Linked DNA regions of Kluyveromyces lactis. The protein of the gene in region 3 purifies or fractionates together with the protein of the main gene of each other region. This does not show direct contact. Links are inferred from orthologs where the notes say so. Each region holds a gene or a part of one and is shown on either strand. Other genes may lie near its edges.

Region 1 (3,134 bases), on a different chromosome or scaffold from region 3:
ATTTACTTCACTATGAATCATAAAATTATGACCGTTGTGGATGTGGATTCTGCACCCGCATCTGCAGACAGTACTGAAGAAAGTAGATTATTATCGAAAGGCGTTAAGTCCATTGACTACACCAATGGAAGACTGTTGAGCATCAGTTCATTTGTTATATGGTTGACAATTGGTTCATTGAATTGTTATCTTGTATTTTCATACCTCATGGGAGCGGACGTGCATTTTTAAGTCTAAGTAGGCATTTTATATAGTTTTGATGGATTCTGTTTAATCTATAATCAATTCGTAAATTGTACTTATTGGATCTGCTTTGTTGATCTCTTCTCTTGTACCTTTGTTGTGGTTAATTTCTTTGTTCTTTATATAATCTTTAATTGTTCTTGGACATTTACCTTCGAAAGTAATTGAGGAAGTAAAAAAATCGAAACACTGATGGTTTCAGAAAATAACTCCAAATAATAGTAACCGTTAGCTATCACTGATAATAAACTAGCCCCACAGATTATTGCACACTACCACAGCTGCGATTTATAGATTCTATACGGAAATATCTACTTCACTGCATAACTTTCTTACTTTTCTTTTTTCTAGTCGATATGGTCTTGACGACAGGAACTGATCCGGCATAATTAGTCTGAAGGACTGGGAAATGTTTCTCGTGCAATTTTGGAGATGTCACAATCTGTTTAGAAAGTAGAGCTTCTTTCAAGATGTTCTGTGCTCTATGATAAAGGGAAACTTCCTCACTTGTTGGTTTTGATATCTTGTTCAGCTTGACCCTTCTCGATTTACATGCCTTTAGCTTTAGCAATATCTCTGTCAATAACCTTTGCTGTTCACCTTGCTCAAAAGCCGTTATATCTTCATCATGTATCTCATGGCTAGGTTGCCAGTCATAAAGATTTTTCAAATTAATATTGACAGGTCCAGCTGGCTCCGTTGTCACTATTACTTCATCTCCCTCCTCATTTGTATCTTGCTCTTCATCCGTGGCAACATTCTGCTCTTCATCATTTTCATTTGATTCCTTTTTTTGGTTGTCAGATCCGATACTGTCATTTGCTTCCTCAACCTTTTGATCTTCAATACCCTCATCCTTTATTTTTTCATCTTCAACATTTTTATCTTCTGCTTCCGCAGCCCCTCTCTTCTTCGATTCTATTTCTAACCAGCTTTTGTATCCGACCTTTTCCAACCATATGTCTCCTTTACGGGAACAATCTGTTACAGACTTGAACTCCGAGATACTCGGAGCAAAAGATTGATAGTCGCCATACTCCAACCATTTAGTAGTGGGTAGCGGGTACCAATTCGGATGCAGAAAGGAGGTCATGATTTCTGTAGGAGAAATTGTTGGATCAGGAACATTGGAAGTGTTAGCTGCTACGAATCCCAATCTATTGGCTGGTTGGGATGTTGCTTGAGGAATAATTTTCACAATTTCACATTCCTCGTATGGTACTTCCTTTGGCCTCTGATCAAGTACTGACCTCGTTATCACCGAACTGAACAAATGTCCCTCCTTTGTCTGCGTATGGTAAGTTTCAGTAACGGGGAGCTGATAAACTTGACTAATTTTAAGGAAATCATTGGAAATGGTTTTTGAAAAATCACTTTCTTTGAAGTCAATGTCTGCCGCGAAGTCTCCCACCAGTTTGGCTCCAACTCTATAACATTCCCTTAGAATCAATTCTGCTGCAAATTTGTAGAATTTGTCGACCATTTGGTACGACCTCGTTCCTTGAGAGTAGTAGTGAATTAAAATGGAGCATACTAATTTAATATCATGGTAAATCCGATAAACAGAATCTTCATGCTTCTGGTAATCTCCACTAGCAAATTTATCAGATATGGAAATTGAATCAATATCTTCTGCTATTTTGATATCTGGATTTTCATCAAACTTGGCCCTTAGAAACTTCACGTAAGAATCGTATATGTGTGTTGGATCAGGCTCGTAGAATTCTTTAGGAAACCTTTCATCTAAAGCTCTGCATTTCGAAGATGCACTAATTAAATCAAAATAAAATTAATACTGTTAGTATTTGATTGTAAAATAAAATCATGCTTTGGCAAATCTAACACTGAAAACATAAAATAAAGACTTGAGGAACCCCAGGTCATCGTATGCTGGTCTTTAATTTATTATTATCACCGATTCTAGACAAAAACATGTGCGAATGCAACATAATTCGAATGAAAAATGTGTTGTTTTTATATTCACATACCCTTTTAAAACAGTTAGTAAGTTCTGAAAAAAATTCTCTTTTAGCAGCTCTACCATTGTTTACTTATTTTTAGCCCACTATAAAAGAGTTTGCAGACCTTGTACTCTCTCACTGCCCATCAGTTTGTCATTCAGCAGTAATGTAAGAAGCCTTTATTGATCAACCTGCGCCAAAACCTGTGTTTTCATTATGAAAAACATCAAAACCGTACATCATGATCCAACTGGCATCCATTGACAGCTTTTACAGAGATTCCTGTCACAGCAACAGTACCCAGTCATAGCCTAACAAGCTAGGTATTGGCCTTTAATTATTCCAATGCAATTGGTATTATATGAGTTAATTAATTCTATAAATTGTACTGGTGTAGTTCTAGGGTCTTTTCGAAGCTTGATAGTTTTTAAATGCTTTTGGAGTAAGGAATTTCTTGACCGTCCATACACCTTTCTCTTTCTCTTGATGAACAGGGATAGGATTGAGTTCCCAACCAATCTTGATGTCGCTATCATTGCAAGATCCAAATCTAGGAACAACATAGCAGAATCTTTCTGTTGGCGATAAATCAATAGGTTTCAAACCTTGTCCAGTGATTGGTTTTCCGTAAGTGAGTAACGAGCCCTTTCTTGCAACGTTAGCCAATGGCGTGCTTTTAATGTCACAAAGAGACTTCATCCTTGTTTTCGCCTTTTCATTATTTTTATTGACATGTAGTGATTGGAAAACCAAGTATTTCGGAGGTTGCTCGCCAGAATTGTTGAGAATTGAGGTTGGATGAATATAAACAAAGATATCATCCAAAGAAGATGTTTTCTCAGCAAGGACTGGAACATAAGGGATATTGAAAATGTTGGTTTTGTTGATAGTAACGTCTTCCGGGAATAACTGGTCTGCGCGAACGGCCAC
Region 2 (3,038 bases), on a different chromosome or scaffold from region 3:
CATTCATGCTGAGTTCAAAGTCAATTCCGACCCTTCATTGTCGTTTAGCTATGAATCTTTTCTTATAGTGAAAAAGAAACTATTCCCGGACAATTCGTCAACTCCAGGAATCTCTATGATATATTCTATAGTTAAGGTACCGTCTGTAGCTATCATACTAATATCTAATATACCTCGAATGTATGAAGCGAGTTATCTTGGATCAAAATTTCTTTGTGCATTCATTTCATCATTCTAGTTCTTGATTTAAGGATCTTTCACCAGAAGTCATAGAATAACTCTTACAGAACCATTAAATGATTGAAGCATGAAAAAAGCAGTCGATACTTTTACGGGCTTAGCAAAATTATCCTTCTCTCAACCCTTTGAAGTTTAGTTCTCTGGATGGGACCCTTATTCTTTTGTCAAGCCATTTAGATGTACTAAAAATTAAAGAACTAGTCAATCAAACAAAAGAAAGACACATTATTCGACAAATACCGCGAGGAGTGTATATAGTTTTTTATTTATTTATTTGTACTAATACATGATATATGAGTTTTTCATTCCAACTTGGCTTTCTTGGAAGGTCTTTCAGACTTTGAGGTTTCACCTTCTGAATCGGAGGCGGATGCTTCTGAATCAAATTCTTCAGCGACATCGTCATCTTCGTCGGACGCATGGAAATCTTCATCTACAGATTCTTCATCCTCACCTGCAGAACCCATGTTAATATCTACATCATCATCATCGCTGTCTGAGCCGAAGGCAGTCTGCAGTCTCTGTTCTGCTTCCTTATCTTCGTTCTTTACCCTCAAGTTTTTGGACCTCAAGAATGTCTCTAGAAGTTGTTGTTCCTCTTTAGAAATATTAGCAAAAGTAGTAGTACCTCTATTGGCACGCATAACAACTTCCAAATCGAATGTTCTGGCTGATGTAGATGTCTGACCAGCTCTTGAAATATTGACCGCAGCAATATCTTGGAAGGGTATATATAGGGTTGGTTTCGTCAAGAACAAAAACGCATTGTCCAATGGGTATAAGTGGCCTTCATTGACTTTGTATGAACAGGATACCGCGCATTGGTCATACTTAGACTTGTATTCACCAGGAACAATGACTCTTCTTCCTGTCAAACCCTTTAAGACATGACTTAGTACAATGTGAGTTTTAGCATCGTATTGTTTCTTTAGTTTATCCTTGTAAAGCTTTTCGAACTCATCATCTTCCACATTTAGTTGGACTTCTGTTTCCTCGTCCTTCTGGAATTGTAACACCAAGAATGGGTAGGATGTCTGACCTTGACGGATTGGTGGATCAATCGATAAAACCATCAAGTAATGGATGTCGTCAGCTTTTGGCAAAGAGAAGATTCTGTTTATTTGACGATGTTGTAACTTGTACTCATAAGTCTTACCTCTAAGTCTGATAGAGTTTTTGTAGATATCAATGTCGTAACGGCCTCTTGGCGTAGTGAAGAACAGATCCTGGAAAGAAATGATGGCATCACCAGAAATTTCACCGATATCTGCCTTAGATCTCAATTCTTCGTAGAAATATTCTGCTAAAGTCTTCTCTTCTTGAACGTCTGGTTCTTCACTACCCTCTTCCGTCTTAACCTCCGACTTAACACCGTCTTCTGCTTCTGCTTCGTCCTTTACCATGATTTGATCTTGATCTTCATTTTCTTCAACTGTGCCTGGAACATATAACCTCATTTCAACAAGTTCATCACCTGCAGGATTATATGCCTCATTTTGGGTGTCAAATTCTAATGCAATCTCATTTTTTGCTGTTAAATTAGTGTTATTGATGTGCGTGTAAGGGATTTCAAAAGTTGGCTTACCGTTCAATGAAAAAACCATTTCGTTTCTAGCTAAGTCCAATTTACCCCAATTCCAACCACGTAAAGAATGTTCCCTGTGCTCTAATTGCATGTTGAATCTACGTTGGAAGTCATTCTTCAATAGGTTGAAATCCTCTTGTTGGAACCCATCCATTTGAATCAATCCCTTATTCTTAGTACTAATTTTCAATTCGTAGCCTCTACATCCTCTACTCCATTGAACGGAAGAAACCTCATCTGCAGCCAATAGCAAAGGTTCATTATTTTGAGTAGAGGCTGACCCACCTGTAGCGGATGCCTTCCAACCAAGACCTCCTTCAGCTAGACGGAAACGTCCACCGAGCTTGGATTGGTTGTAATAAATTCTATCGAAATCTGTACTCATTCTCCACTATCCCAATATAAGAAATAAAAAGTAGGTATCCAAGACGAAGATCACTAGATTTCAGTAATACTGACCTGTCTAACGTAAACTATGGGCTAACAACTCTGCCTACCGTTAACGGTTTCATATGTCTTCTTATTTGTTCATGTTTTAACAACATCTTAAACACTTTGGCGATTTTTCATTTTCATTTCTAGTAAAGTTTCCAATTCGCGTCACGTTGACAAGAGGTAAGATGGGGGAGTGAACGGAAAAGAGACAGTTTTTACACACGAAGAACTATCAGGTCGAGGCCCACCCCCCTGTTGCCGGAGGAACAATGTATGATACTGCAATTACCGCTAGGTCATAAATTTGGTTAATGTAGGAAGCTGTATATAGTTTGTTATAAAATAATAACTAGGTGGAAAGAATAAAGGAGGCAGCTCATTTGAAAATGAATCTACAATTTGGAATCAACACCCCTGAGGAATTCGACCAAACCGATAGCTCCTGGGTCCGGAATTGCTTCAGTGTCTTCCACGTAAGATGCACGGCCGAACTTGGCTTCTAAGTTTCCTGTAGATTCTGCACCTCCTTCCGCCTTGGAAAAGGCCTTATGGAAGTCCTGAGTTGAACTAAACTCTTTCACGAATGGCTCCAAGGCATCGATCATAGTAGAATCACCTGGCCTAGCTCTAGTATATTTACACAATGTCTCGTATGCAACTTCTAGCGATTTGGCGAAGGCTTCTTTGTCCACCGCATCATTTTCTCCGCATTGTTCAATAATTCCTTTTGAAAGGCCCGAAATGAATATAGAGTACAAACCACCGGATGTACCACCCA
Region 3 (3,762 bases):
CAGAGGGTTGACGCTTCTTAGCCTCCGCGAATGTTTGTACAAGTGCTGCTTCCATCGTTCTACTACTCTCCGATACCAAGGTAGGAATGTCAAGCATTTGAATATTGTAATCTTCCAAAAAGTGTAGTGTGGCGGAAGCGATATATTGTAACCCGTTACCGGGCGGGCCTGTGATCAAAAGTTTCGGTTTGCAGACACGAGATTTCTTGATAAGTTTTAAAAATTCATGCTTATCGAATCCAGTACCTTCTTCGTCATCAGAATCCTCAAGATCCTCATTTTCTAAGTAATATTGAATAATGGAGGAACCCGATTTCAATTTTGTGCTTTGCTTGGGTAGTAGTAAGTTGAGCTGATCCTTGACGTTAATAAATTGTTGAGCGAGGAGCGGTTCAACATATTTTGGTAAAGGCTGCGCTGTAGAGCCAGTAGCTCTAGCAGATGATGGTACAATCTTTTCTAGTGCAAGCATGAAGTCTCTAGCCTTGACTCTAACTGATTTAGGATCAATCTTTAGCTTTTCTTCACTTTTATAGATTTGTGGAAACTTTCTTTGGATACTGATCAAAGATGCTTCTGTACAAAGTGCTCTTAAGTCAGCACCACCGTATCCTTTAGTTAAGGAGGCTAGCTTTGAAATAAATTGATCTGAAATAGGTGGATTCCATTTCTTGGTGTGAATATGCAAAATTTTATCTCTAGCCTTCAAGTCTGGTAGAGGGAAATAGAACTCACGGTCAAATCTACCTGGTCTTCTTAAAGCAGGATCCACTGCATCTGGTCTATTCGTAGCACCGATTATAATAATCTGACCTCTATTATCCATACCATCCATCAATGCCAACATTGTCGACACGATACTGGCATGGATTTGTTCCTGTTTGGAAGATCTAACTGGAGCCAACCCATCAATTTCATCAAAGAAAATGATTGCCGGTTGATGTTTCTTTGCTTCTTCAAACAATAACCTTAATTGTCTTTCAGCTTCACCAACCCATTTGGAAAGAATGTCAGCACCCTTCCTCATGAAGAAAGTGATCTTTCTCTTCTCATTTGAGCAACTTGCGGCCAATGCTCTAGCCATCAAAGTCTTACCTGTACCTGGTGGGCCATGGAACAAGACACCACGAGGTGGAGTAATATTGAAGTTTTGATAAAGTTCTGGGTACAACAATGGCAATGCCACCATCTCCTTTAATTGGTCAATGTAGTTATCTAGACCACCGACATCATCAAAATTAATGTTCATATCGACACCAAGTGGGTCCAAATCTGCAATTTCCGGTTTCTTTTTCTTCTTTTGTTTTGATGGATCCTTTGGTTTCGGTTTCATACCCAAAGCTAAGATTTCGTCATCGGATGAATCAGAATCCAAAAATTTGTTTGACTGTTCGTTTAGAGCGTTTGGATTAGAGTTGTAGAATTGAACGTTTTTACCAAATATCGCCGTAACATCGTTTCCACCAAATGGACCACCGGTAGGGAATAACCTTCTAATAGGTCCAAAACTTTGACCCGAATGTAAACCACGTTTACCTCTTGGGGACTGATAAACGGATGATTGGTATGGAAGTGTTCCTGGAGGTATTCCTGGCACCGAAGTAGCTTCCATAGCACCAATTTGATTTTCAGACAAAGGTGGTGGGATCGTGTAATTTACTGGTTTTGTACGTTCTCTCAAAGACCTTTTCTCTCTGATAGGACTGTCCTCCTGTAATTCTCTAATTTCGTCCTCAAGTGTAAGCGCTTCTCTAGTACGTGCACTTGCCGATCTATGACGACCGCTACCTACCGTATCATCGTCGTCTTCATCGTCATCTACAACACGAGACGATCTGGTTCTATGCGGCCTTAACTTCCGAGGAGGCTGTTCCCTACGCGTACTTCTTGCTGCAGACCGTTTTGGTCTTCTTCCACGTCTCACAGTACCATCGTCATCCTCTTCATCCTCATCTCCATCATCTTCATCTTCATCCAGATCCTCTTCCTTGATACTATAATCTTCATTCCCATCAGATCCATCCTCATCGTCCTTGACAATGAAATTTTTATCTCTTCTTCTCGCTATCCGTTTGCGATCATCTGCTGGGTCGATATACTCATCGCCGTCATCAACATCGTCGTCGTCATCGTCATCATCGTCTACATCTTCCTCGTGGAACGAAACGTCATCATCGTCGTCATCATCACGAACCCTCTTGTTCCTCTGACCGGGACGCCTACCACGACGCCTACCAGTACCGGTATCTGAATAGTTAGCACCAACGGCGGCTGTTCCTCCAGAATTCGTATCAGATTCCTCGATATAATCGTAACCATTCTCAATCTCTGCGTAGTTAACTTTTTTCAGCAGCCTCGGTGTGGTATGAGCAATCCCATTATCATCGTAAAACTCAGTATGAGTGCCAGATTCATCGTCACCGCTCTTGCTATGGAGCGTCATTTTGATTCCTTTGATCTAAACTTCTAAAAGGCTTTTCTTATTTTGCAGTTTCGGAACTGTAGAAATCAAAAAGAATGCGACAGAGACACACAAAATTCACCCCACAAAGTCTCTGATTTAATGAATAACAATCGAACCTAACCCAATTGGCTTGTCTAATGGCCCAAAACGCCAATTTGATCCTTAAAAGCTGTGTTTAATGCCGTATATTATCGTTATAAATCTCTGAACACAACTTAAACTGGTTCTGGGAGCTTTTTGGTTTTGTTTATTTAGAGGTATATTCAGGTAGGGTAATCGACATATTTTGGACAGGGTAACCATTCCCGAATACAGCTCATATATATATAGATACACACACTCACACATCACACAGGAAGCACTGACACACCAGCTATACGGTCTAGGACTGGTGCAATGGTAGGGTGAGACAGTACTGGTCCGATTATAGGAATGGACCTCAGCAATTGGAGGATCACGCCGAAAAAGTCGCCGAATAGACCGACTATACCTAACGATTCGATGATGAACCCAAGGAACGTCCACTTACATAAGATCATGAATATCCCAAACACGAGAAACAAGGTCCCACGTCTCTTTGTCGGTCTAGTGAAGAATTTGAGAGTCTTGTGTGGGCCTATCATCAGCAGCACGCCGAGTAGGAACAAGATGTTCCCAACAGCCAATAGTGCTCTATCGAAGAAGGTGAAGATACCAAAAAGGAAGAACAAACATCCACCGAACGTGAACACAGCACCGAATTCTGGGGAGATAAGTGGGATTTCAAGATTTTGGCAAGTACTGTAACAAAAGTGAGATAGAAAGACGGATTGAACAATCCGTCTTTCTATTTCCCTTATGTTCGCATGAGTTTACTGGCCGATCTCAAATAACAAATGTTAGTAAAGGGAAACCAAAAATAATAGTAAACGCATACATGGTTTAACATACGCTGTGACTCCGATAGCCAACTACTCATTGTTATGTGCTATTGTTGCGTGTATATCAAATACTATGAGCATATATAGAGAGGCAAACAGTGCCTATCTTGATGCGTTAATGTGCACATATTTACTGCGCTCGTCCAGAAGCCCATCGCTTTTCGCGATTGGGCTTCTGGACTGAAAAGACGTGAAGTGTTACCCGGTCATTGTGTTTTCCGGGTAACGAAAATCGTTCGAGGCTTTGAATCAGCAAATTTACCGGCCGTTGCTATTAAGTCCAATGGTTTATACCCTTGAAGCCACCATTACTATACACCATTTAGGGTTCCTTTTTCCACCTTAGAGCCGTGGATTTGCATGTTATTGCGTGGATAT

Evidence for each region.
Region 1: the proteins of YTA7 (region 3) and RSC58 purify together in Saccharomyces cerevisiae (affinity purification with mass spectrometry, with the first as the bait; 3 studies listed by BioGRID). This does not show direct contact. The link is inferred for Kluyveromyces lactis from reciprocal best matches to the Saccharomyces cerevisiae genes YTA7 and RSC58.
Region 2: the proteins of YTA7 (region 3) and POB3 purify together in Saccharomyces cerevisiae (affinity purification with mass spectrometry, with the first as the bait; 3 studies listed by BioGRID). This does not show direct contact. The link is inferred for Kluyveromyces lactis from reciprocal best matches to the Saccharomyces cerevisiae genes YTA7 and POB3.

The regions. Positions count from the first base shown.
Region 1 is NC_006042.1:1,593,478-1,596,611, forward strand, and holds RSC58 (Rsc58p), read right to left. Parts: upstream 2,288-3,134; coding exon 2,232-2,287; intron 2,013-2,231; coding exon 560-2,012; downstream 1-559. Other genes in the region: putative divalent metal ion transporter SMF3, read left to right, coding at 1-231; ATP-dependent RNA helicase ECM16, read right to left, coding at 2,604-3,134. UniProt on the Saccharomyces cerevisiae protein: Component of the chromatin structure-remodeling complex (RSC), which is involved in transcription regulation and nucleosome positioning. RSC is responsible for the transfer of a histone octamer from a nucleosome core particle to naked DNA.
Region 2 is NC_006038.1:445,304-448,341, reverse strand, and holds POB3 (FACT complex subunit POB3), read right to left. Parts: upstream 2,211-3,038; coding exon 543-2,210; downstream 1-542. Other genes in the region: DAK1 (dihydroxyacetone kinase), read right to left, coding at 2,653-3,038. UniProt on the Saccharomyces cerevisiae protein: Component of the FACT complex, a general chromatin factor that acts to reorganize nucleosomes. The FACT complex is involved in multiple processes that require DNA as a template such as mRNA elongation, DNA replication and DNA repair.
Region 3 is NC_006037.1:857,139-860,900, reverse strand, and holds the start of YTA7 (chromatin segregase YTA7), read right to left. Parts: upstream 2,444-3,762; coding exon 1-2,443. Other genes in the region: GOT1 (Got1p), read right to left, coding at 2,812-3,206, 3,395-3,422. UniProt on the Saccharomyces cerevisiae protein: Functions as an ATP-dependent nucleosome disassembly factor that helps evict canonical histone H3 from the 5'-end of genes upon their induction.